Macaca fascicularis: one gene and its partners. The protein of the gene in region 3 purifies or fractionates together with the protein of the main gene of each other region. This does not show direct contact. Links are inferred from orthologs where the notes say so. Each region holds a gene or a part of one and is shown on either strand. Other genes may lie near its edges.

Region 1 (4,255 bases), on a different chromosome or scaffold from region 3:
GCAGTGAGCCGAGATTGCGCCATTGCACTCCAGCCTGGGCAACAAGAGTGAAACTCCGTCTAAAAAAAAAAGGAAAGGAAAGGAAAGAAATTCAGTCTTTCAGAGGGAATACACTTACCTGAATAGAGGTCAAAGTCTCAGAAGAGGCCTCCCTCCTCTCTCTGACCTCTGAAATGCCCTGGACCTGCAAGTGGGAGATTACAGGCCCTGACAAGGGTTGCCCAAACAGCAGTGTGGCACTAGGAAGGCAGGTTAAGCATCAATTACTATGATGCTAGCACAACTTAAGCACTCTGCATGCACAATCTCATTTAATCCTTACAAGTGTATGTAGGAGGGGCTACTAGTATGTTCATTCAACAAACTGGGATACAGAGTTTGGAACTTCACCCAAAGTCACTAGTTTCTCTACCAGGATAGATTTAAGTGCTTACTGTCAGGTACTGTTCCAGGCATCTTATATGTACTAACTCATTATCCCCATTACAACCCTCTGATACAGGTGCCATAATTATGCCACTTTACAGACGAGAAAACTAAAAGCAGAAAGGGAGCAGTAAACCCAGGAGATGAATTCTGGAGAAGCTCTCTGGTTTCAACCCTTAGCCAACATCACAATCACCTGAAGGGCTTGTAATACACTGATTGCTGGGCCCAGTCCTAGAGTTTCTGAATCCTAAGGCTGAGCAACACCTAATTTCCACTTCTGCAAGTTCCCAGTGAATGCTGTTGCTGCTCGTCTGGAAGCCAGACGTTGAGAACCCCTTCTAGAGTGAGGTCTCCCGCAACAAATTCTACCGGCCCCCAAAGCACGTGTTTTGTGTGTCTTAAAAATTTGTTGAGTACCATTAGCAAAAAACAAACAAAAAAACTTAATTCCTAGAATTGCAGAGAAATCCCATGGAGTTTTTTGCTAGTCACGTCAAAAGAGGCCACAAAGTGCCGCTTAACCAGAGCTTCGGAAGACAGCGGCTGGGCCGGCCACGTGCACCGAGACTTGGGGCCAGGTGCAGCCGCCCCAGGGCCGGGGTATCGGAAAGGGCCCCCGGTCCCAGCCCCAAGCGGCCCAGCAATTCCCCCGGGCCGTCCGCCCCTCCAGATTTATTTACGTTTTCCTGACTTCCCCCTGCCCGCCGTGGGACAAACAGCCTCCCCACTTGCATCTGCGCTGGGAGTAGCGCGTACTTCCGCCAAATTCGCCTCCGAGCCCGAGTCCCGGCCGCCGCCATCTTGCGGGGGGCGCACCTCACAGGTCGGGAGCTGGGCGGGAAGGGGCGTGGCCCCGGGACCCGCCCCGCCAGGGCTCTTGGGAGCGCGGGCAGCCAGCGCACTCGGCGGACGCCAGGGCGGCGGGGAGCACACGGAGCACTGCAGGCGTCGGGTGAGGCGTACGGCGGCGGGGGTCGGGGCGGGGGTTCCTGACGGAGGGACCGGGTGGGCGGCGGGAGCTCGGATGCAGGTACGGCGGGCAGCCTGGGGGGCGCGGCGCGGGTCTCTGCCCGGCACTCGAGGGGCAGTGGAGCTGAGCCGGCCAGCGGCCCCGCGACCTTCCCCTCGGCACCAGGTCCCCTCTCCCGAAGGAAACGCGGAGCCTGGGTGCCTGGGCGCCGTCCCTTGGCGGCTCCCGGGCGGTTGCAGTTTTTGAAAGAGTTTCTCAAAGGCGTGACGGTTGCGATTGCAGCCGCGGGGCAACGGTTGCTACACAAAGTGAAACTTGCCGAGTGCTCGGCTCCTCACGGGCTTCCTGGCAGCCCTGGGAAGTTCCTCGGCTGACCCCGAGCCCGCGCCCTCTCTCCACGGACCCCTCCCCGCCGAGTGCCCCCCGGCCATGCGCCCCCTCTCCCCTGACCCCTCCCTGCCGAGTGCCCCGAGGGCTCGCGCCGGCGCTCCCGGGACTCCTTTCTCCTAGGTGATTCCCCCTGCCCCTCGCCCTCTCTCCCCCAGGCCCGCGCTCCGTCTTCCCGGGCCTTTCCCCGCCGGGTACCCCGGGCCCCGCGCCCTCTCTTCTCCACTTCTCTCAGCCAGGTGCACCTGGAGTGCCCCCCAGACCCCTTCCCGCCCGGTCGGCGCTCTTTCCCCCATCCCTCCCCGCCGAGTGTTCCCCGGGGCCCGTGCCCTCTCCCCCCGACCCTCTCCGCCGAGCGTTCCCCCTGCCCTATATCTCCCGGACCCGCGTCCCCCACCAGCCCCTTAATGCTGGGGGTCCCCGGGTGCGCACCCCCTCTCTCCGGACCCCCCCAACTGGGGGCACCTCGAGTGCCCGCCGGCTGCCCCTTGGGCGCGCGCCCCCGCGCTCAGGCCCCTCCTCGCCGGGGGCCCCGCCCGGCCGCGCCCCCTCCCCGTGCCCGCAGTGCTGGGCGGGGCGCTGACTCACCCCGGCCCGGGCTGGCCGGTTCTTAAGCGGCGGCGCGCGGCGGGCGCGGAGTGTCGGGCGCGGCAGGAGGACGAGGCAGGGCCGACCGGCGCTCTAAGGGCTCTGCTTTGACTCCAGGTTGGGACAGCGTCTCCGCTGCTGCTGGAGAGTCGTGTTTCCGGGGATCGAGGATACTCAACAGGAACCGAAAATGCCGAAACCAGTAAGTTGCCCAGTTTCTGGGACGGGCGGACGGGGGAGGCTTCATTGGCGAGGGGAGGCACCTGCACGAGGTGTTGGGGCAGTTCCTGGTGGAAGAAGGCTTTTCTCACACGCAGAAGAGGATAGGAATAGGGGGTTGTCGCCGCTCTTTGTTACTTGTTGGCCCTTTTGTGGAGCGTTAGGAAAACACCATTTTGATGCTTTTCTCTGCAGTCTTTTTCTTTGTGAGCCCCCTCCCCAGTAGTTACGATCTTCTCTAAAAACTAGAGGCCCTTTTACACTGCTTCCGTCTGTTTTTAAAGGGTATGGTAATGCAACTTCGAATTTTCTTAAAAAGTCCAAATCACAGGGAGACTCAAATGGCCTCCGACCACACACACCAGCTCTCAGAGTTCCTAAGGGTCCGAAACCACAGGCGCCCAAGATCCAACTGGGGAGATTTAAAGGGCGTTTGGGAGAGGAGACTGGCTTTCGGAAGTTGCCGTTCAGCTTCGCTTCCTACGAGGCCCATGAAGCGGTGCCCTGTTCACCAGGAAACTTACTGGCTGCAGCAGAATTTCTGTCTCTTAACAGAAGGTTAGCCATGGACTTGAATTGTAGATGCAGGCAGTCGGCGGAGTTTGATGAGCGGCTCTTGGCACGCTGGGCCGAGCACTCCTGGTCAACTGATGAAAGGGCTGTGCCTGCGCCTCTGTCTCCTTGAATCTGATTGTGTTGAGATTGCTGGCTAGGCCTGGGGGTTGTAGGCAAAAGGCAGGTTCTCTGGGACTGACACTTCTTAGAAAGTTGTATGTATTCTACCTGCTTTTAACGCTGGGGAACTAGTGACTATTCGGGAGAAGGTTTAACATTTTTTGAGTTTTGAATCACAGTGGACAAAATAACAGGGTTCATTACAAACTGGGATTACAGATACATCCGGATTTTTTTTCTGGTTTTTCAAACAAGTTGGTTCTGTAATCAATGATTGTGTGCCTTTTTTTTTTTTTTTTTTTTTTTTTTTTTGTTGGGGGAGGTAGGTGGTGGGGAGCAGAGTCTCCCTCTGTCGCCCGGGCTGGAGTGCAGTGGCCTGATCTCAGCTCACTGCAACCTCTGCCTGTTGGGTTCAGGCGAATCTCCTGCCTCAGCCTCCCGAGTAGCTGGGATTACAGGCATGTGCCACCATGCCCAGCTAAATTGTGTATTTTTGTAGAGAGGGTGTTTCACCATGTTGGCCAGGTTGGTCTCAAACTCCCGACCTCAGGTGATCCGCCCACCTCGACCTCCCAAAATGCTAGGATTACAGGCGTGAGCCACCACACCCGGCCTTGGTGCTTTTTCTACTGTTAAATTTTATGTTCTCTAAGAAGATGTTTGTTAGAGGTATTAATTTTGCTGTTAGGTTAGAGAATATTAATATGCCAATAGATTCAGAAGCCAATATCATTTTTGCCTAAGTTACATTAAGATTTATTTGCGGTGCAGAGTATTTTCTATACAAAATTTTTCTTTTTAATTCAAACTTAAAAGTGACACGTGACATCCAGGCTTGACAGTGCATGTGGTATGAAACTGACCTAAGTACAACCCCTTACTTAGGCAGAGCTGAGTGCAAGGGTATGCAGAGGAGTGGTCAAGATTACCCTTCTGGGTGTGGTTTTCTTTATTTCACTAAAAGAAGAGATGCAGAGCTCAGCTAAG
Region 2 (4,293 bases), on a different chromosome or scaffold from region 3:
AATCTCTAAGGTCCAATCTAGAACAGATTGTCCCTCAGCACAAGTCATACCTGTCCAGTCACAAATAAGGAGTCCCTCTCTAGGACCAGAGTAGCAGAACCAGCTACCAGGTGGTAGGTGGGTAAAGGAAGAATAGTTATAGAGTCCCTAGGTGCCAGGCACTCTGTCGGGCATTTTGGCAGGAATTATCTCCTTTGGTCCCCAGATGCCTGGGAGGTAGATGGTGTACTTTCCATTTTGACAAACTAGGAAACTAAGGCTCAATGAGGTTAAGACAGATTCAGAGCTGTGGCTTATAAGCGGCAGGGATAGCATCCATAGCAGGACTGTGTGACTCAAAGCCGTGCCTCTTCGACATGTCACCTCAGCGGTAGGAAGGAGAGCAGAAGCAGGGAAACCCAGAGGACAGGGGCAGCAGCCAGCCAGCTTCCCTGGTCCACCCCACCCGGTCCCCAAAGCCCCAAGTCATACAAAGGAGGCTCAGTCCCAGCAGTGCCCACAGCTCGAGTTTGGGCAGGCTGCCTTCCTCCCCCCTTCCTCCTGGGCCTGCCAGCAACACTGGGTCACTCAGCCCCTGGCAGGGGACAATGACCACACTGTAGGGAGCCACACATCCACCACAGCACAGTGACTGAGAAGAATCCACCAGGGAATCACCTCCACCCACTCTGGAACAGTCCCTTCCTCCCTTGGTCCAGCTCACCCACAGGCCCTGCCCACCCCTCCCTGTGACTCAGGGCAAGGAGTCAGCTTCCCGGGCTTCCAAGTGTCCCCCACCCCCAGCACACACGGCGAGCATCTGCACAGTTCATCACACCTTCGCAGCTTCCCTCACTTCCTCCTTCCCTGGGGAGGGGAACCGGCCTCCAGCCGGCTGAAGTTCCCAGGCTGCAGGAAGAGAGGGCGGGCTCTGGAGCTGAGATGAAGTCAAGGCTGTTGGGAAGAGGGAGGGGGCTAGAGTCTGGGTTGGGAGGAGTCCCAAAAGAAGAGACAAATGAGGGCCAGTCCCAGCACCAACCAGGCAGGGAGCAGTTAAGAAAGCGACGGTAACCTGATCTCGGCTTCAAACCTAGCTTTTTCTCTCAGTCCCACATCCTGTCAAACTGGGCTGACTGAAGGCCTCTACTCCCCACACCCCGCCACCACCTCACACTGCCCTTTAGGAAACGAATCCTCCAGTCCCAGGCCTGTTCCCTTCAACAGCAGATCCTAGGTGGCCCTTCCCTTGCCTCCACACACATTCACAAAACTGTCGGTTTTGTGGACGTGAGTCAGAGAATTTACAGGAGTTCAAAGTACACAGCCACACTCTTCCCACCAGAAAATGGACTCTCTCTGATTCCCCAGAAGACAAGCAAGAAGGCTTTCACCCTGCCGGCAGATAGCCTCCAGAAATGGAAACCACCCTCCAAAAAGAGGGTTCCTCGGGAATTCTATCCAGGTGACTGACGCTAGGATTTCTTCCAACTCCTCCACCCACTCCATTAGTTCACCTTGCCCTGTTTTGTAAAGATGGGCTGGGGTAGCCCCACCCTGGGGTGGGCAGTGTTGATGGAGGGCAATCACTACTGGGGTGAAAGCCAGTCACTTAGGCATGAGTATGTCACTGCTGTCCCCCCAGCAGGGTAATTCAGATGGCACCAGAGTGGTAGGAGGCAGAGGACAGAAGCCCGGGGTTGAGGCATGTGTTAAGGGACCTGGAGCCTCCAGCTCAATTAGAAGACCTTCCCTCCAGGCTATGGTTGGGCCGGAACAGCAGGCAGCCCAGGCCAGGCCAGGACACTAGGCCCAAGGCCAAGATGGCATGGATAACTCCCTATGGGAGGCAGCCCCAGAGGGACTGTCCCACTGACCCCTTAAGAGGGGCAACTGAGCCCCACACAGGTCCTGGAATGGAGCCTGGAACTTCTGGGGCCTTCCCCAAGACAAGACAGTGTGGATACACCAGATCTCTCTCCAACCGCTCTCTTGAATTCCCAGATGATCCAGAGCGGCCGGTTGACTTTGCTGACCCACCCTACACCTAGGGAAGGAATCCGTTCTGGAGATACCAGGAGATACCTCATTCTCAACTTTAAAACCAGAGTGAGGGTGGGACTCGGCCTCAGGATCCCAGCCCCAAAACCCCAGGATACTCCTTGTTGGTTCGAGTATGAAGAAGGAGAAGGATTCTCATTCTCATTTTCTCTCTGTCTACACACACACACACACACACACACACACACCCCCCACAGACACACACACACACACACCCCCCACAGACACACACACACACACACACCCCACAGACACACACACACACACACACACACACACACACACACCCACCCACAGAGTTGGATCCTTCCCCATCTCCCTTATCCTCAACACAAGCGGGCTCCAGGAACCGTCTAGGGCGGCGTCCAGACCCTGCCGAACAGTGGCAGGTCCCAATGGTCACATCCCGCCCCTATTCCCGCCATGCCTCCCTCCTGGCCTGGAGGAATTCCCACCCCATCCCACTCTAGGTCCCCTGCGGCCGCCCGCCCTGGGGGCTGGAGCGTCTGAGTTGAGGCTCCCTCGCCCCTCACCCGGCGGGGCAGGTTCCAGGAAGCTGGAAGGAGAGGGGAAGGGGCTCCGACTCGGACCTCAGGAGGCGAGAGCCCCTGCCAGCAAGTCCGGGCCCCCTCGCTGCAGCCCGGGGAGGTGCCGACGCGGCCGACCCCCGCCCAGCCCGGATGCCGACTCCGCAGGGAGGGAACGGGGTCCAAGCCCAGGCCGAAGCCCCCTCCCTGCACGGGCCTCGATCTCCGGCCCAGAGAGGAAGGCAAAGTGCTCTCCCGGGGACGAGTTCCCAAGACGCCCCGCTGCCCGCAGACCCGGCCCAGGGTACCTTCGGTTCCGCCGCCTCCAGCTGCGCGGCCGGTGCCTGAGGCTCAGACTGACCCCAGGGCCCCGCCCCGCCCTCCTCCAGCTCCGCGGCGGGGAGGGCGGGCCCGGCAGGGGGAGGGTCGGCTGGGGGCGGCCCTTGGCTCGGCCCGCCCCGGCCCCGCGCAGGGCGGCCGCCGCTTCCCTGGTCCGCAGGCCTGGGGCCGGGGGCGTCCACTCCGCCAGGTAGGGGAGGGCCACGGGGTTATTCCGGGACTGCGGAGGAGCCGGGCGAGCGGGGCCAGCACTACCTGAGTGAACTCACTCTGCCCAACCTTCCAGCCCCTAGGGGAGGACCGGCGTCGGGAAAGTTAAGAGTGCTAGGGGTGGGGTCAGGAAGGGCCGCTGCTGCCCTCCTGTGGCCAAGCAGCCACCCGCTCTTGCTGCACCTGGGACCTCTCCGGAGGCGGGACTGGGAAAGGGCAGCCCCCGGCACGTCCCAGGGCCCGGCGTGGGTGTGTTGGTTGGGGGAGATGTTCACTCTCTTGTTCCTAGGATCGTACAGCCCAACGTCATCCCCCAAACTTGAAGACCTCTCAGAGCCGTTCAGACCCAGACCAGCGTTCCTCCTCACAATTCGCTTTCCTCCCTGGGCCTGGAATTTCCAGGAGTCCAATTCCTACCTACTCCTCAAAGGGTGCTCCTAGAAATGCTTCCGGATCCCAGCTGGGAATTCTGTTCCCACTTCTAGTTCTGACTTGGTGTATAGGATACTTACCTACACGCGTATCTCCTTTTCCTGTAAGGAAGCTGAGGAGGTGGGAGTAGAATGAGGACGTCCACCAACATTTCATTGGCTTGTGCTTGGGACACTACACAGCTTAACCCTTTCAATATTCATCACAGATCTTTGGGGAAAATATACCCATCCCTTTTTGCCCATAGGGAAGCTGAGGCTCAGAGAAATCAAGTGGCTTACACAAATGTTTTTGACTTGTGACAGCAAGAATTCACACAGCCGGGCCTGTCTGGCTCCAAACTGGTGGTCTGGCCCTGCTACTTCCCAGGCTCCTCCAGCCTGTCCCTTCCCCCGTTGTCTAGCACAGTGAGTGGCACGTAATAGGTTGCCAACAAATATTTGATGAATGAATGAATGTTAGGAGTCATACAGACTTTATCTGAAGTGCAATCCAGACATTTGACAAATGTGAAAACTGAGGTCCGCAGCAGTTTGGCCCCAGGCCTCTTAACTGGCTCAGTAAACATTTCTTGAGGGTGAACTGAGAGCTATGTTTGGAAGATCCATTTCTGCCTTCAAACAACTTAAGAGTCTAAATGAGGAATGCAGACAATTTCAAGATGGCTAACATTTATTGAATCCATATTACATGGACCTGGGTCCACATACATTAACTACAAAAATCTCATGAGGTAGCTATCTTCATT
Region 3 (4,502 bases):
AGGGCCAACCACGGGGCCTGGAGAATGGCTGCTCCGCTCCTTCCTTAAGCCAGGCCTCAGGTGTGACAGGGAGATAGAACCTGGGGGGCACGGAAAGGGCAGCAGAGGCCTGGCTGGGGCCTCTCTCCCCCACAGCACAGGCAGAAGCAGCAACGAGACACAAGACCACCGAGGAGGCTGGGCCTGTGGGCGGGGGAGGGTTGAGGAGGGGGGTCGGAGGCACTCGGTTGAGCCAGGCCAGGGAGGCGGACCAGGGTGGGAGGGGCACGGAGGGCCTGTCAGCACTTTGGTATGGGGAGGGGAGGGGCTGGGGGGACACATCCGCCTGTCCGTCGTCCGTCCGTCCGTCTGCCCTGCCTGCTTCTGGCTGGGCTCAGTCCTTCCAGTCCTTCTTGATGGTGAGATTCCACTCCCAGGACAGGTGGTCGGTCTTGTCGTCGTCTGTGAAGCGGGACTTGATGCTGTAGCTGCCCCGGGCCAGCATACCCTTGGGTGCCTCCTCCACGGGGGTCAGGAACTCGTACTCCTCGGCCCGGGGCCCATAGCTGCCTACCATGTAGTCAGTCTTGTCAACTGCGGCACAAGGAAGAGGGCGGTCAGCGGCCCTGCGTCCCCGCTGGGCACCACGCACCCAAACGGCCCCCTCCGCCCTGCCCGGGGCCCCACTCACTCTTGACGCCTTTCCTGTACGTGTGCTGGATGTACTTCATGCCGGACACGATCTCTCTGTTAACCTGCAGGACCCGAAGCGAAGATCAGGGAAGGTCGGCCCCAGTCCCGCCTCCCTTCCCTGGCCACAGCAGCCGACAGCTTACCCGGAAAGAGATTTTTATCCGGTACTCTACACCCTCTTTCAGCACAAACGACTGCTTCTTGAAGCTCTCCAGGTCACCTGTTGGGGGGACCTCTCCTTCAGTGACTGCCCAGCAGCCCCGCGCCCCCAGCCCTGCGCGGCCCCTTGGCTGCACTTCCCGAGATCCCCACCAGGGGCCGCCCGAACCCCCGCAGCCGCAGGGCGCTCACCTGTCAGGTCCAGCTCCAGGGGGCCCGGGGCCGAGCTGCACACCAGGGTCAGGCCAGTCACGACGACGTTGGGGACGTTGGGGTCTGGGGAGTGACAGGAGGTGAGGGCCTCACCCCCGCCAGTGGAAGCAGGGGCTGGGGAGCGGCAAGACAGCTGGAGTGCACGGGTGGTCACCGGGCTCCCGCAGCCCAGACTCACCTGCCGAAACGGCCACGCGGCCCAGCAGGGCCTCCTTGTACTTTCGCAGGCTCTCGTCGTCCTTGTCCAGCTCCTGGATCTCCTGGATGCTCTTCTGGGCCGGGGGCTTGTAGTTGACCGAGTGCTCATCTTCCTCGTTCTCTGCTGCAATCTGGGCCAGCTGCTCGGCTGTGGGCTCCTGCTCAGCCATGCTCACGCTTAGCCTGGGTCAGGACACCTGTGGGCGGGACGGTGGCAGGCCTTGGACCTGGATCCCCAACGGAAGCGCACTTTCTGAGCAGAAGCGTGGACTGCAGCCAGAGCTCCAAAAGGGCTCCAAGGGGGCCACCCTCGCTCCTCTCCTCCGCCCAACTCCTCCTCAGGGGCATCCTCTGGGGCAGTGTGAGGTGCCCCACGCCAGGTATAACATCTGAGACAAAATGGGAACTGCAGCCGGTCCTGGGGAGAGAGGGCACACCTCCCCCTCCACGATGGAGGAGGCAGCAGCCCCCGGCATGCGTGGGGCGGGGCTAGTAGGCCCCAGACCCAACTGGCAGGGCCCACACTAAAGCCTCTCTTATGGGCTTGCTGCTCCTGAGCTGCCCAGGCCCTTGCCCTACCGGGTAACGGAGCTGGGTATCCCTCAGTAGGGATGCTCCTCTGGCCGCGCTAGTCACATGTAAACCTGTGTGGTCGGCTCATCCTCATCCTCATCCTTCAAACAGGATGCCCCTGGAGCTCGGATGCTAGAGGCAGCCAGAATACCGCAGGGAGCCAACGGGGCACAGGGGATCCTAAGTATCTCCGGTTTCTCTACAATTGTGAGAGTCTGTGACCTACACTTGGGAGCTACCACAGCCGCTCAGTACCGTTGGGCCCTCTTGTAGATCGGGAGCCGGGAGTGCCCGGGGCAGCACTGACCCGGCAGGGACCCGAGCGCGGGAATGTCAGGCTCAGATTCTTCCCGGCAGCGTGGGAGGTGGATCAGGGAGCAGCCCACCCGGGACGCCCAGGCTGGGGTCCAGGCCGCCCTGCTTCCTCCAGGCGCTGGGGCCTCTGCGCCGCGCAAGGGTGGCCGCAGGCGCCGGGATCCTAGGGCGCGGCCCGCACTTCCGCAGGGCCCGCAATCCGCGCCGGGCGTGGCCCGGGCGCTGGGGGAGGCCGCGCCCCAATCCCCGCGTCGCCCCGGAACGCCATGGACCGCGGCTGCCGGCCCGGCGCCCCCCGCGTCCCCAGGGAGGGGTCCTCCGGTCTGGCCCGGGCCCCACGCGCTTCGGCGGCCATGAAAGAAGCTCAGGGGCGCTCGGGCGGGGCTCGCAGTCCCCTGGCCCCCGCCGCCCCTCCGGCCCGGGTCCCGCACGTGGGTCCGGGGCCGCCACCACCCGGTCCCGCCCCGGCCCCGCCCTGACCCGCGCCGCCCTGGTCCGCTGTCACCGCGCCCCCGCCCGCCGAGACCCCGCCGGGGGCTCAGGGCGGGGCGCGAACAAAGGCGGAAGCCCCTACCCCGGCGCCCCCCGCCTCCGCCGGCGCCGCCGGTCCCCGCCCCGGCCCGCCGCCTCCGCCCCGCCACGGCCACTCACCGGAGGGTTCGGCCGCGCGGCTCAGGCTCCCTCCCGCACTAAATGACGAACGTCGTCGGCCGCTCCGCCCGCCCTGCCTGTCACTTCCGGGGTCACGAGACTTCCGCTCGCTCGGGCGGGGAAGGCCAGGGCGCATGCGCGGCGCGCGGGTGGCCGGGGGCACGGCGTCGCCATCTTGCGGCCGGGCCTCGTGGGCGCGTTCCGCGTGGGTTCTGGAGTCGTCACCTCTGTAAGCCAGGGCACTTCCCCCACGCGAGCCCAGGGCGCCCGCGCCCAGGAGGCGAGGTCCCGTCCCGCCTCTCGCCGCTGTCCAACCCGCGCCCACTGCAGGCCTGCGGCGGCCGCGTGGGCTTTGGAAGCTCGCGCAGGTGCAGTTCGCTGCCCTCCCCGGCCCAGTCGGTCCTACTGCGACTCTCGTTTCGGGGCCTTGTTATCTAGTCCCGGGACTTCGGGGAGGTAACGGGCACGGGGATTAAGTTCTCGTTAAACATAGGCGAGTGCGCCGGCGCGCGGGCCGCTCCAGAGCCTTGGTGTCTCCCGTGGAAGGACAGGGCTTTGGGACAAGGAGGAGCCCCTTGCACGCCCACGCCCCATGGAAAGCTCGTGGTGGGCGAGGGCGCAGCCGCGGCTTTTTTCTCCAGGTTGAGACAGAATTCATGCGCGGCTCGCGCGGCTACTTGGCGCAGGCACAGCTGCAGAGACCCTAGTATCCCTCAGGAATCTCGCGACTCCTCAGGACCAGAAGGCAGAGACCTCCTGGCACCGTGAGCAGATGAGGGGCTTCCTTAGCCTGGGCTTCACCGCAGACGCTCAGGTCCCCACTCCACTTGTTCCGAGATTTCACACATTCGCCCACAAGGACCGTGTTGAAGCATCAGGAACGGCCGCATAACGTGAGTGGCCTGGCCTAGCTGTAGTGCTCGCACTCAGCCCTGTGCTCTCCACTACTGGAGGCCAAGCCCCTAAAGGCCCTGCACCAGACACTGGGTGGGACGCTGCCCCACGTCCAGCCCGCAGCACTTGTTAGGGCTGTGGACTCGTTAGCGTGGACTCCTCTTTTTATTTATTTATTATTTTTTTGAGACGTAGTCTCTGTGTGTCACCCAGGCTTGAGTACAATGGCGCAATCTCGGCTCACTGCAACCTCCACCTCTCAGGTTCAAGCAATTCTCCTGCCTCAGCCTCCCGACTAGTTAGGACTACAGGCGTGAACCAACATGCCCAGCTAATTTTTGTATTTTTAGTAGAGACAGGGTTTCACCACGTTGGCCAAGCTGGTCTCGAACTCCTGACCTCAGGTGATCCACCCGCCTCAGCCTCCCAAAGTTCTGGGATTACAGGTGTGAGCCACCACGCCTGGCCACCCCACCTCTTTTAATCACTCTTGAGCTCCAAGCAGACAGGGCCTTGTCTGGCCCATACTGCCAGGCTTCTGGCAGGGAACCCAGACTGGCCAAGAGAAGCGGACACCACTCGCACACACGCGCGCAGCTGCTTTGTTCAGACACATAAATGAACACAGGAGGGCATTTTTGGGAGCCACTCTGCCCAGCCCCAAATTCTTTTGAGCTATTTTCAGCTGATGCCTGCTCCCACCACCCACACCCTACACCCTGTCCCAGGCAATCACAGTCCTGCTTTTAGTATCTATAAACTTGCCTCTGATGGACACTTCACATAAATGACGATTATACTGTGTAATGTTTTTGAGGCTGACTCAT

The links. The genes of interacting proteins can lie anywhere in the genome.
Region 1: the proteins of ARHGDIA (region 3) and EZR purify together in Homo sapiens (co-purification; 3 studies listed by BioGRID and IntAct, with this or other methods). This does not show direct contact. The link is inferred for Macaca fascicularis from reciprocal best matches to the Homo sapiens genes ARHGDIA and EZR.
Region 2: the proteins of ARHGDIA (region 3) and RHOC purify together in Homo sapiens (affinity purification with mass spectrometry; 4 studies listed by BioGRID and IntAct, with this or other methods). This does not show direct contact. The link is inferred for Macaca fascicularis from reciprocal best matches to the Homo sapiens genes ARHGDIA and RHOC.

The regions. Positions count from the first base shown.
Region 1 is NC_088378.1:67,154,863-67,159,117, reverse strand, and holds the start of EZR (ezrin), read left to right. Parts: upstream 1-1,333; 5' UTR 1,334-1,381; intron 1,382-2,491; 5' UTR 2,492-2,564; coding exon 2,565-2,576; intron 2,577-4,255. UniProt on the Homo sapiens protein: Probably involved in connections of major cytoskeletal structures to the plasma membrane. In epithelial cells, required for the formation of microvilli and membrane ruffles on the apical pole. Along with PLEKHG6, required for normal macropinocytosis.
Region 2 is NC_088375.1:121,673,257-121,677,549, reverse strand, and holds the start of RHOC (rho-related GTP-binding protein RhoC), read right to left. Parts: upstream 2,923-4,293; 5' UTR 2,873-2,922; intron 903-2,872; exon of another isoform or gene 818-902; intron 1-817. UniProt on the Homo sapiens protein: Regulates a signal transduction pathway linking plasma membrane receptors to the assembly of focal adhesions and actin stress fibers.
Region 3 is NC_088390.1:88,245,553-88,250,054, forward strand, and holds the start of ARHGDIA (rho GDP-dissociation inhibitor 1), read right to left. Parts: upstream 2,822-4,502; 5' UTR 2,705-2,821; intron 2,316-2,704; exon of another isoform or gene 2,042-2,315; intron 1,440-2,041; 5' UTR 1,413-1,439; coding exon 1,223-1,412; intron 1,108-1,222; coding exon 1,024-1,107; intron 893-1,023; coding exon 816-892; intron 735-815; coding exon 671-734; intron 574-670; coding exon 374-573; 3' UTR 1-373. UniProt on the Homo sapiens protein: Controls Rho proteins homeostasis. Regulates the GDP/GTP exchange reaction of the Rho proteins by inhibiting the dissociation of GDP from them, and the subsequent binding of GTP to them.